Saccharomyces cerevisiae S288C: one gene and its partners. The protein of the gene in region 1 purifies or fractionates together with the protein of each later gene. This does not show direct contact. Each region holds a gene or a part of one and is shown in the gene's direction. Other genes may lie near its edges.

The links.
Region 2: the proteins of CDC27 (region 1) and MND2 purify together in Saccharomyces cerevisiae (affinity purification with mass spectrometry; 5 studies listed by BioGRID, with this or other methods). This does not show direct contact.
Region 3: the proteins of CDC27 (region 1) and APC2 purify together in Saccharomyces cerevisiae (affinity purification with mass spectrometry; 9 studies listed by BioGRID, with this or other methods). This does not show direct contact.

Annotation. Positions count from the first base shown.
Region 1 is NC_001134.8:67,717-71,475, reverse strand, and holds the start of CDC27 (anaphase promoting complex subunit CDC27), read left to right. Parts: upstream 1-2,030; coding exon 2,031-3,759. Other genes in the region: ALG3 (dolichyl-P-Man:Man(5)GlcNAc(2)-PP-dolichol alpha-1,3-mannosyltransferase), read left to right, coding at 349-1,725. UniProt on the Saccharomyces cerevisiae protein: Component of the anaphase promoting complex/cyclosome (APC/C), a cell cycle-regulated E3 ubiquitin-protein ligase complex that controls progression through mitosis and the G1 phase of the cell cycle.
Region 2 is NC_001141.2:401,658-405,416, forward strand, and holds MND2 (Mnd2p), read left to right. Parts: upstream 1-2,001; coding exon 2,002-3,108; downstream 3,109-3,759. Other genes in the region: DAL81 (Dal81p), read left to right, coding at 1-1,032; INA22 (Ina22p), read right to left, coding at 1,184-1,834; tyrosine protein phosphatase YVH1, read right to left, coding at 3,216-3,759. UniProt on the Saccharomyces cerevisiae protein: Component of the anaphase promoting complex/cyclosome (APC/C), a cell cycle-regulated E3 ubiquitin-protein ligase complex that controls progression through mitosis and the G1 phase of the cell cycle.
Region 3 is NC_001144.5:396,193-399,951, reverse strand, and holds the start of APC2 (anaphase promoting complex subunit 2), read left to right. Parts: upstream 1-1,632; coding exon 1,633-3,759. Other genes in the region: snoRNA-binding rRNA-processing protein DIP2, read right to left, coding at 1-295; NEDD8 ligase DCN1, read right to left, coding at 519-1,325, 1,420-1,422.

The DNA of each region.
Region 1 (3,759 bases):
GACACGCAAGAAAAAATTGAAAAATTAACGTGGACCCTGGGAAGCGATGAGCTAGAGAAGGTAAATACAGGGTCGTACGACGCAGAAGCATCCCAAAATTGTTGCAACAAGTATGGAATGTCACATTAGAGATTTCCCAATCTTACATGACTCTTTATTGCTGTTTTGTAGATAGCCTTCCATGTAAAATGCATTTGCCGTCACATTCTGTGTGCGGTTGCTGGGTGCTGTAAACAAGCTAAAGAAATTTCGCTATCGAACTTAAAGAACAACGCAGTACACTAGTTGGGAGTGAAAACAGTATCATAGAGTGTGTATGGGAGAGAGAAAGAGTTAGATACTAGTAGTATGGAAGGTGAACAGTCTCCGCAAGGTGAAAAGTCTCTGCAAAGGAAGCAATTTGTCAGACCTCCGCTGGATCTGTGGCAGGATCTCAAGGACGGTGTGCGCTACGTGATCTTCGATTGTAGGGCCAATCTTATCGTTATGCCCCTTTTGATTTTGTTCGAAAGCATGCTGTGCAAGATTATCATTAAGAAGGTAGCTTACACAGAGATCGATTACAAGGCGTACATGGAGCAGATCGAGATGATTCAGCTCGATGGCATGCTGGACTACTCTCAGGTGAGTGGTGGAACGGGCCCGCTGGTGTATCCAGCAGGCCACGTCTTGATCTACAAGATGATGTACTGGCTAACAGAGGGAATGGACCACGTTGAGCGCGGGCAAGTGTTTTTCAGATACTTGTATCTCCTTACACTGGCGTTACAAATGGCGTGTTACTACCTTTTACATCTACCACCGTGGTGTGTGGTCTTGGCGTGCCTCTCTAAAAGATTGCACTCTATTTACGTGCTACGGTTATTCAATGATTGCTTCACTACTTTGTTTATGGTCGTCACGGTTTTGGGGGCTATCGTGGCCAGCAGGTGCCATCAGCGCCCCAAATTAAAGAAGTCCCTTGCGCTGGTGATCTCCGCAACATACAGTATGGCTGTGAGCATTAAGATGAATGCGCTGTTGTATTTCCCTGCAATGATGATTTCTCTATTCATCCTTAATGACGCGAACGTAATCCTTACTTTGTTGGATCTCGTTGCGATGATTGCATGGCAAGTCGCAGTTGCAGTGCCCTTCCTGCGCAGCTTTCCGCAACAGTACCTGCATTGCGCTTTTAATTTCGGCAGGAAGTTTATGTACCAATGGAGTATCAATTGGCAAATGATGGATGAAGAGGCTTTCAATGATAAGAGGTTCCACTTGGCCCTTTTAATCAGCCACCTGATAGCGCTCACCACACTGTTCGTCACAAGATACCCTCGCATCCTGCCCGATTTATGGTCTTCCCTGTGCCATCCGCTGAGGAAAAATGCAGTGCTCAATGCCAATCCCGCCAAGACTATTCCATTCGTTCTAATCGCATCCAACTTCATCGGCGTCCTATTTTCAAGGTCCCTCCACTACCAGTTTCTATCCTGGTATCACTGGACTTTGCCTATACTGATCTTTTGGTCGGGAATGCCCTTCTTCGTTGGTCCCATTTGGTACGTCTTGCACGAGTGGTGCTGGAATTCCTATCCACCAAACTCACAAGCAAGCACGCTATTGTTGGCATTGAATACTGTTCTGTTGCTTCTATTGGCCTTGACGCAGCTATCTGGTTCGGTCGCCCTCGCCAAAAGCCATCTTCGTACCACCAGCTCTATGGAAAAAAAGCTCAACTGAAACAGATGTATAAATATCATATAATCGTATTGTTTTAAATCATTTCTTTATACCATCTATATAGTACTACTAGTATTTAATGGTGCCGTTATTACCCGCGCTTGATTTTCCTTTTTTTTTTTGATCAAAAGGATGGAACAGGCTGAAAGTAAACCAAAAGGATCAAAGTGCAAGCAAAGGTGCCACAGAAAAGTTTATCAAAAAACCATACCTAGCTGTGAGAGTTTTAGACTCTGTTTTGGTGACTGCATATCTATTCATAAATCGACACGAACTTTTCGTGCAGGATACATAATAAAAATAGCATGGCGGTAAATCCTGAGTTAGCACCGTTCACCCTCTCGAGAGGAATCCCCAGCTTTGATGATCAAGCTTTGAGCACCATCATACAGCTTCAGGACTGCATTCAGCAGGCTATTCAGCAGTTGAACTACAGTACCGCAGAGTTTTTGGCCGAACTGCTCTATGCTGAATGCTCCATTCTCGATAAATCAAGTGTTTACTGGTCCGATGCGGTATATTTATATGCACTTTCGCTGTTTCTGAATAAAAGCTACCACACTGCGTTCCAGATATCCAAAGAATTCAAGGAGTATCATCTTGGTATCGCTTACATATTCGGGCGTTGTGCTTTACAGCTTTCGCAGGGAGTTAACGAAGCTATCCTCACTCTTCTCTCAATAATAAATGTATTTTCTTCGAACAGCAGTAATACGCGCATAAATATGGTGTTGAATTCTAATCTCGTCCATATTCCCGATTTGGCCACTTTGAATTGCCTGTTAGGCAATCTTTATATGAAACTGGACCATTCTAAGGAGGGAGCATTTTATCATTCTGAAGCATTAGCCATTAATCCTTACCTTTGGGAATCTTACGAAGCGATTTGTAAAATGAGAGCTACCGTGGATCTCAAGAGGGTTTTTTTCGACATTGCAGGGAAAAAAAGTAATAGTCATAATAATAATGCAGCTTCATCGTTTCCGTCTACATCACTATCGCATTTCGAACCTCGTTCACAACCTAGCTTATATTCAAAAACAAACAAAAACGGCAATAATAATATCAATAATAATGTTAATACACTGTTTCAGTCGTCTAATTCTCCCCCTTCTACATCGGCATCTTCTTTTTCTTCCATTCAGCATTTCTCAAGGTCACAGCAGCAACAAGCGAACACATCAATAAGGACCTGCCAGAACAAAAATACTCAAACTCCTAAAAACCCTGCAATCAACAGTAAGACGTCTTCTGCGCTACCAAATAACATTTCCATGAACTTAGTGTCTCCATCCTCCAAACAGCCTACAATAAGCTCGTTGGCCAAAGTTTATAACAGAAACAAACTTTTAACGACTCCTCCATCGAAACTGTTAAATAACGATAGGAACCACCAAAATAACAATAATAATAATAATAATAATAATAATAATAATAATAATAATAATAATAATAATAATAATAATAACATTATAAATAAAACAACTTTCAAAACTCCAAGAAACCTATATTCCTCAACAGGAAGGTTAACAACTTCCAAGAAAAATCCAAGGTCTTTAATAATCAGTAACTCAATACTAACGAGTGATTATTCAATTACGCTGCCTGAAATCATGTATAATTTCGCTTTAATATTAAGGTCGTCATCACAATACAATTCGTTCAAGGCAATAAGACTGTTCGAGTCTCAAATCCCATCTCATATTAAAGACACAATGCCATGGTGTCTAGTGCAATTAGGAAAACTTCATTTTGAGATCATTAATTATGATATGTCCTTAAAGTATTTCAATAGATTGAAAGACCTACAACCGGCAAGGGTAAAAGATATGGAAATTTTTTCTACTTTGCTGTGGCATTTGCATGACAAGGTTAAATCTTCAAATTTGGCAAATGGGCTAATGGATACAATGCCTAATAAGCCCGAAACATGGTGTTGTATAGGTAATTTGCTATCATTGCAAAAGGATCATGATGCCGCAATAAAAGCCTTCGAAAAAGCTACTCAGTTAGACCCAAATTTTGCATACGCGT
Region 2 (3,759 bases), on another chromosome or scaffold:
ACGTTACATAGGAAAATTATCTGTGCCTTGAATCCTCAAACTCCAAAGGAACTGGTTCAAGTATGCAGGACTGCTGCAAGAACCAGGCTTGTAGCAGCAATTGAATTTATAAGAGATCTAAAAAACGAACATATTAATGCTTTTTGGTATAACTGCTCAACTGGAAATCTGATGCTAATTGGAACATTTGCTGCCCTGCTGTATGTGACTTCAGCTACGAAGGAAGAGGCTATGATTTTCAGAGATTATGTTAGAAATTATACCTGGGTATTGAAGATAGGTTCCAAATACTTTGATAAACTATCGAATGCTTTGAATAATATGCATTTACTATTTGCACAAATTCCTGGTCTTCTGACCGATGAACCGGTGGTCGTGAGCCCTAACTCTAACATCAATTCCGTTAACCCACAAAGGTCAGGTGTACAATCGCAAATCCCAATACAATTTAACGTGGGATCACCTGCCATGACCGAGCAAGGATCTCCTTTAAACCAGTGGAAGAATTTGCCCCAGGAAATCTTGCAACAACTAAACTCCTTTCCCAACGGTACGACCAGTACAACAACGCCAGTAAACCCCACTTCCAGACAAACACAACTAGAATCGCAGGGAAGTCCAGCCATAAATAGTGCTAATAATAATAGCAACAACACGCCTTTACCATTTGCGCCAAATAAGTCTTCTAAAAAAACTTCACAATCTTCACCAAATGTTACGCCCTCTCATATGAGCAGACACCCCCCCTCTAATACATCTTCACCAAGAGTCAATTCCAGCACAAATGTCAACTCTAATACACAAATGAATGCTTCTCCCTTGACCTCAATTAACGAAACCAGACAAGAGTCAGGTGACGCTGCAGATGAAAAAACAGCAGGAAGAGAAAGAACCGCCAACGAGGAATCATCAACGGAACTCAAGGACGATAATCCAAACTCGAACCAGGAAACAAGCGCAACTGGTAACCAAACTATAAAAATGAATGATGATAAAAATGTAACAATTAACACAAGGGAAACCCCTCTGTAATATAAATAATAGCACATAAGTAAAAATGGAATACGGTAATAACTATATAGAAATATCTTCTGCAGGACCAAGGTTACTGAGTGGTGAATGTAAAATTATTTATTCGCTTGCGTTATATTTACATGTGGTATATCCGGATGCATAGAGCCTACTATAGAAATTTTGGGATTTTATCATGTTCTTTGGCGATTTCATTCAAATCACCTGGTTGGTTCATCATCATATGGACATCACCACTTAGGTAAACCTTTTCATCTTCTTTTTTCGACTTTTCTAAATCTTTTAGAACATTCAAATCAGTGACAATCCCTTCTTTGTTCTTAACGCCAGCATCTGGAGTTTTTTCGATTACTTCTTTTTTTGCCTCGTCTATTATACTTTGCCAGATCTCTTCCAATGACTCTTCCTTAGGAACCACAATATCAGTCTCATCTTCCTTCATCCCAGTTGCGTTCTTGCCGACGATTCCTAAACGCAAATTCACAAGTTTCAATTCATCATCTGCGTCGAAGTCTACCTTTCCATTATTATCATGAACCCTCCGTATCAGCTCTTTCAATTTATCAAGTTTTAGCTTATATTTCCTTTCCATATCAATAATGTTCCTTTTCTCGGCTATTACTGCGTTTAATATCGACCCAAATATCATTACCAAAAGTAAAGGTTTGATCATTGTTTTATCAAATCTTGACTTTCTCTTAATGCCCGCATTTGCTGATGCAACAGTTCTAGCGGTTATCTTTATGGGAGCAAGGCTCCTTAAAAATAGACCATTTCTTAACACTTGTCTTGCCATAAACATTTTTCCTTACACCTTTTACGTATGACTTGTCTTTCCTTGTTGTTACTTTTTCCCTGCTCATTATATCACATAAGATGTAAATTAGAGGATGCGTAAAATAGTTCAACTGTGCTACGCCACATCAGAATACCGACAACCATAAACAGCGGCGAAGAGAAGACAAAGCAATGGCAAGAGCGTTGAGGGATATATCATTATTCAATGATATAAGAAAGGATCAAAATTCGGCAGGAGCCAAGCATGAGAGATATAACATGAGAGATCTCCGAAGTAAGAAGAACCAGCATGTAAATGGCATAGATGATTATGAAGATGATTCGCTTGACAGATTTATAAGAAGGAAGAAATCCAGAGTTGTGAAATACATTCCATCATTGTCAGCGTATAATGTGTTCAATGAATTTCCTTACTATCCTACGTCAGCCAGTCAGTTACTAGACGGCAAATTAGACGAATTTCTAATGCTGTCAGAACAATACAAAAGTAGATTACCCAAAATACGCAAGCTAGGATGGAATAGATTCAAACCAATAGGCATTAATAAAACTATGTACGAATTAGAAATGCTAAGGTCTCGAGCACGAGCTCAAAACGCGGAAGGGAACAATGAGGAAGACTTCAGGCAGCACGATTCTAGAGAAGAGGATCCAAGAAACAATGGCTCTATAGGACGCGTGATACTGCCTCATATTCTACAGGAAAATGAAGAATATGATACTGGTGAGGGTGTTACAGGATTGCATAGCATGCCAAATGACAGTATGGCCATACTTGCGAATAACAGTGCTAATAATTCGCAAAATGAGGAAGTATCAGAGGAGGATGAAATATCATACGATTATGATGCAGAGTTCGATCATGTTGTAGATGAGGATGATAATGAGGAGGGAGAAGTGCCGGGGGAAGGTGTGGAAGGTATAGAAGTTCAGAGAGAGAGAATTGTGCCGGATGACTTATTAATGAGACCCACTTCACTGTCACGCTCCCTACAACAGTTTGTGGAAGAGGCTCATCATTTAGATAGAAACCCATATGATATTGACAGTGATAACGACGGAGAAGATTCAAAGGTAGAACTGGACATGAATCCGGATTTTGAAGATGACGTGGGAAGAGAGCATGATTATAATAGCGAATACAGCCAAGAGCCGACTTCTTATGGTGGGATTACACCTGATCTAGCGAGTAATTGGAGGAATTGGACTAGGGAGAGGATAACTAGTTTAGATGAATTAATGGAGAGACGAGCCAGGCAGCAACGAGGTCAAGATTAGAAAAATGCTCTCCTCAGCACCAAAATTCATCTATCTATTAAGATGTATACATACACAAGTGCACCAAAAGTGCTTAGTGGTAGTTATATTTGCTGATTATATCTAAGTTATCTATTTACTTTCTCGGATTCAAAATTAACCATGTTGGGCAAAGCAGTGGATTGTAAGGGAAATTGATCCACTTTACTAGTTTGCAGGTGGATAGCGGGGATGACCCACTTACCACAACTGCACCTAGATCCTTTCCAGTTGTAACCGCCAACTTTACTTGAACAGCCTGGACATGAAAACTTCCCTTCTAACTCTTGCTTGCCTTGTAGTTCAGGTTGCATCCATTTTAAAGGTTCGATGAAAAAATGAGAGCAATTTGCTTGTGACTCTTGAATATCAATAATACGATGGGAGTTGGCGGCCCTCTTGATGAAGTGTCCCTCTGATGATTCCTTACTTGGTGGGTCATGCGCGATGAAAGATGTAGATAACGCCAATTTGGTTCTGCACTTCTTACATCTCACTGCGGTGACCTTGCTCTTCTCAGCTTCAGTTAATTTATCCAAGTCTTGCGACGACTCCGAATCTTTAAACATTCCAGAATTGGAGACCAATTCGCTGCCCGATGGATCTAACTTGATAGATTGCTTCAGCTTCCAC
Region 3 (3,759 bases), on another chromosome or scaffold:
CGTAACCGACAGCTAATAAATCCGTATCTTTATGAGCCTCCAAATATGTACACTCGGCTGGCTTGGCGCCTCTAGCATCAGATGCGCCTGGAGGTAAGCCATCGGATAATTTACTGACCAAATCCCCGGTCTTAATATCCCATATATTAACGTCCTCGAGAGCACTCGTAATCAATTGTCCTGGTCCACTACCATTACTATTTCCGGATGACGCAGGTATCCAAACACAATTGGCATTGGAGGCTATTACACCAAAAGCAGCTGCTTGCTCAAAACGTTGGTATGATTTGACCATAATAGCTCTTATTCCAGTTTCTCTGGTCCTTCTAGTGGCTACTCTGATATACGTACGACCTTATACAATATCTACATCTATATTATGAGGGAACTGAAAATTTCTGAAAAATTTTCCACTGCTCATCGCGTTTTTTATTTCCGCCTTATTCCCATCTATCTTAGAAGGGTAACGTATTCCATGCAATATTAAACAGCATACCCTTAAGTATATGAAAGGATGTTTATTGCTGATCCTGTAAGCACTCATAGAACTCATCGATAATAAATGGCCAGGCTGCAGTTTCGTCGTAATCGCTTATTATTTTCTGAATAGTGGGGTATCGTTTGAAAAAGAGGAGCAGCATACGCCAGGTGTCTTTACTTATAGTGGTTTTCCCCTCATCGCGAAGGAAACGGAACCATGCCTCAAGCAAATCTGGTTCCATACGCACTGGGTACTCTGGTTGGAAAAATAGCTTCCAATACTGGATGCCTTCGTCTGTATCTATATCCTTTCGATTTGGGTCCAGAATCAAATTGAAAGCATAGTTATAAATCTGTGTGAAATATTGTAAGTCTTCATGTAATTTAACATCTAACGTCTTGATGCACTCTTGCATGTCTGAAATGGTGGAACAGCCTTGCATAAACCATGTTGACAGGAAGTCCTCTCGTTTTAAGGGTTCTTCTAGTTTCTTGTACCCCAGTAAATGGGCTAAGCATAATGTCGCTAAATCTTCAAGATTGTAGCCTAGCTCCTCAATGAACTTGACCAGTGAGTCTATATCAAACAAGTTGTTATTGATATAGTGTTCAAATACCTGTGTTAGCTCCTTCGGGTATACGGGTGGATGAGCCACAGTTGAAACCTCGTCAGTAAACGTCCCTATTTCCTTGTCATAATAATCATTGAGAGCGTAATTGATGTTCCAGTGATTACGCTGCAGGTACTTCCTGGATACCTTGGGGTCACATTTGGTTAATGAGGTGAATGATTCAATTGCCTCTTGTTCCGGGCTTGCATCCTTTCTTTTTATTTTATTATTACTCTATAATGATGCATCACATTTGAGCGCCCCTTGCCAATAAAGTGTTAGTACTTTGAAGAGCCTGAGAACTAAAGAAACGAAATTAAAAACATACCATGTCCTGAATGCAAGAACGTCTCTTCAAAAATTTCTTTTTTTATTGGGTACTTGCATGTTACTGCGTAAGTTCATTAGTTGCATCTAAATTTTCAAACCTTTGGTTACAAAAACAGTAATAGACAAAAGAGCCAAAATATCGAAAACTAGACGAAAGCCAGACTTAGCGGGACTGTAAATATTTATGGCTTATAGTTAAGGTTTTTCCATCATGTCATTTCAGATTACCCCAACTCGAGATTTGAAAGTTATTACAGATGAGTTACAAACACTTTCCTCATACATCTTTCACACAAACATAGTCGATGATTTGAACTCTTTACTTACATGGATGAGCCCTAATGATGCCAAGAGTAACCATCAACTACGTCCTCCAAGCCTTCGTATTAAGAATATCATTAAGGTTCTCTTCCCTAATAACGCAACCACATCGCCATATAGCATGATAAACACTAGTCAGGCAAACAATTCAATAGTTAATGAGGGAAATACAAACAAAGAGTTACAACTACAACTTTTTTCCACGCTCAAAGAGTTTTATATTTTCCAGGTTCGTTATCATTTTTTCTTACATTTTAACAACATTAATTATCTAAAAGATATCCAACGATGGGAAAATTATTACGAGTTTCCTTTACGTTACGTTCCTATTTTTGACGTAAATGTAAACGACTGGGCACTTGAACTTAATTCTTTAAGACATTATCTGTTGAATAGAAATATAAAGTTCAAAAATAATTTAAGAACAAGATTAGACAAATTAATAATGGATGATGATTTCGACCTGGCAGACAATTTAATCCAATGGCTCAAATCTGCTAATGGTTCCTTATCCTCTACGGAATTGATAGTCAATGCTCTTTACAGCAAAATCAATAAATTTTGTGAAGATAACATGAGTAGAGTATGGAATAAAAGGTTTATGATTATGGAAACATTCAACAAATTTATTAATCAATATTGGTCTCAGTTCTCTAAATTAGTCGGTTGTCCAGAGGATGATCACGAACTGACCACTACAGTTTTCAACTGTTTTGAGTCCAATTTTCTTAGGATAAGAACGAATGAAATCTTTGATATATGCGTTTTGGCTTATCCTGATTCAAAGGTTACTTTATTGGAATTGAGGAAAATTATGAAAGATTTTAAAGACTACACAAATATTGTAACAACTTTTTTGTCTGATTTCAAGAAATACATTCTAAACCCCAGCGTAACTACGGTGGACGCTTTGTTGAGATATGTTAAAACTATCAAAGCATTTTTGGTCCTGGATCCAACAGGGAGATGCCTACATTCAATAACCACGTTTGTTAAACCTTACTTTCAGGAGCGGAAGCACTTAGTAAATGTATTGTTATACGCAATGTTGGACTTACCTGAAGAAGAACTAAAGGAGAAAATTAATTTCAATGTAGATATGAAGGCACTGCTCTCACTTGTAGACACTTTGCACGATTCTGATATCAATCAAGATACGAACATCACCAAAAGGGACAAGAATAAAAAAAGCCCCTTTCTATGGAACCTCAAGGTGAAAGGAAAGAGGGAATTGAACAAGGACCTACCAATAAGACACGCCATGCTATACGAACATATACTCAATTATTATATAGCTTGGGTACCAGAGCCTAATGACATGATTCCCGGTAACATCAAATCAAGTTATATTAAGACAAATTTGTTTGAGGTGCTTTTGGATCTATTTGAATCAAGAGAATTTTTCATATCAGAATTTCGAAATCTCTTAACCGACAGATTATTCACTTTGAAATTTTATACGTTGGATGAAAAATGGACCCGATGTTTGAAATTAATAAGAGAAAAAATAGTCAAATTCACAGAAACAAGTCATTCCAATTATATAACAAACGGTATATTAGGACTCCTAGAAACAACAGCCCCTGCAGCAGATGCAGACCAGTCGAATTTGAATAGCATTGATGTTATGCTTTGGGATATAAAATGTAGCGAGGAGCTCTGCCGTAAAATGCATGAAGTAGCCGGACTGGATCCCATAATATTTCCAAAATTTATCTCACTCCTCTACTGGAAGTACAACTGCGATACACAAGGTTCTAATGATCTTGCATTTCATTTACCAATAGATTTAGAAAGGGAGCTACAGAAGTATTCTGATATATACTCACAGCTGAAACCTGGGCGCAAGTTACAACTATGCAAAGATAAAGGAAAAGTAGAAATACAATTAGCTTTCAAAGATGGTAGGAAATTAGTGTTAGACGTTTCTTTAGAACAATGCAGCGTAATAAATCAGTTTGATTCTCCAAATGATGAGCCAATTTGTTTATCACTAGAGCAGCTTTCTGAGTCACTA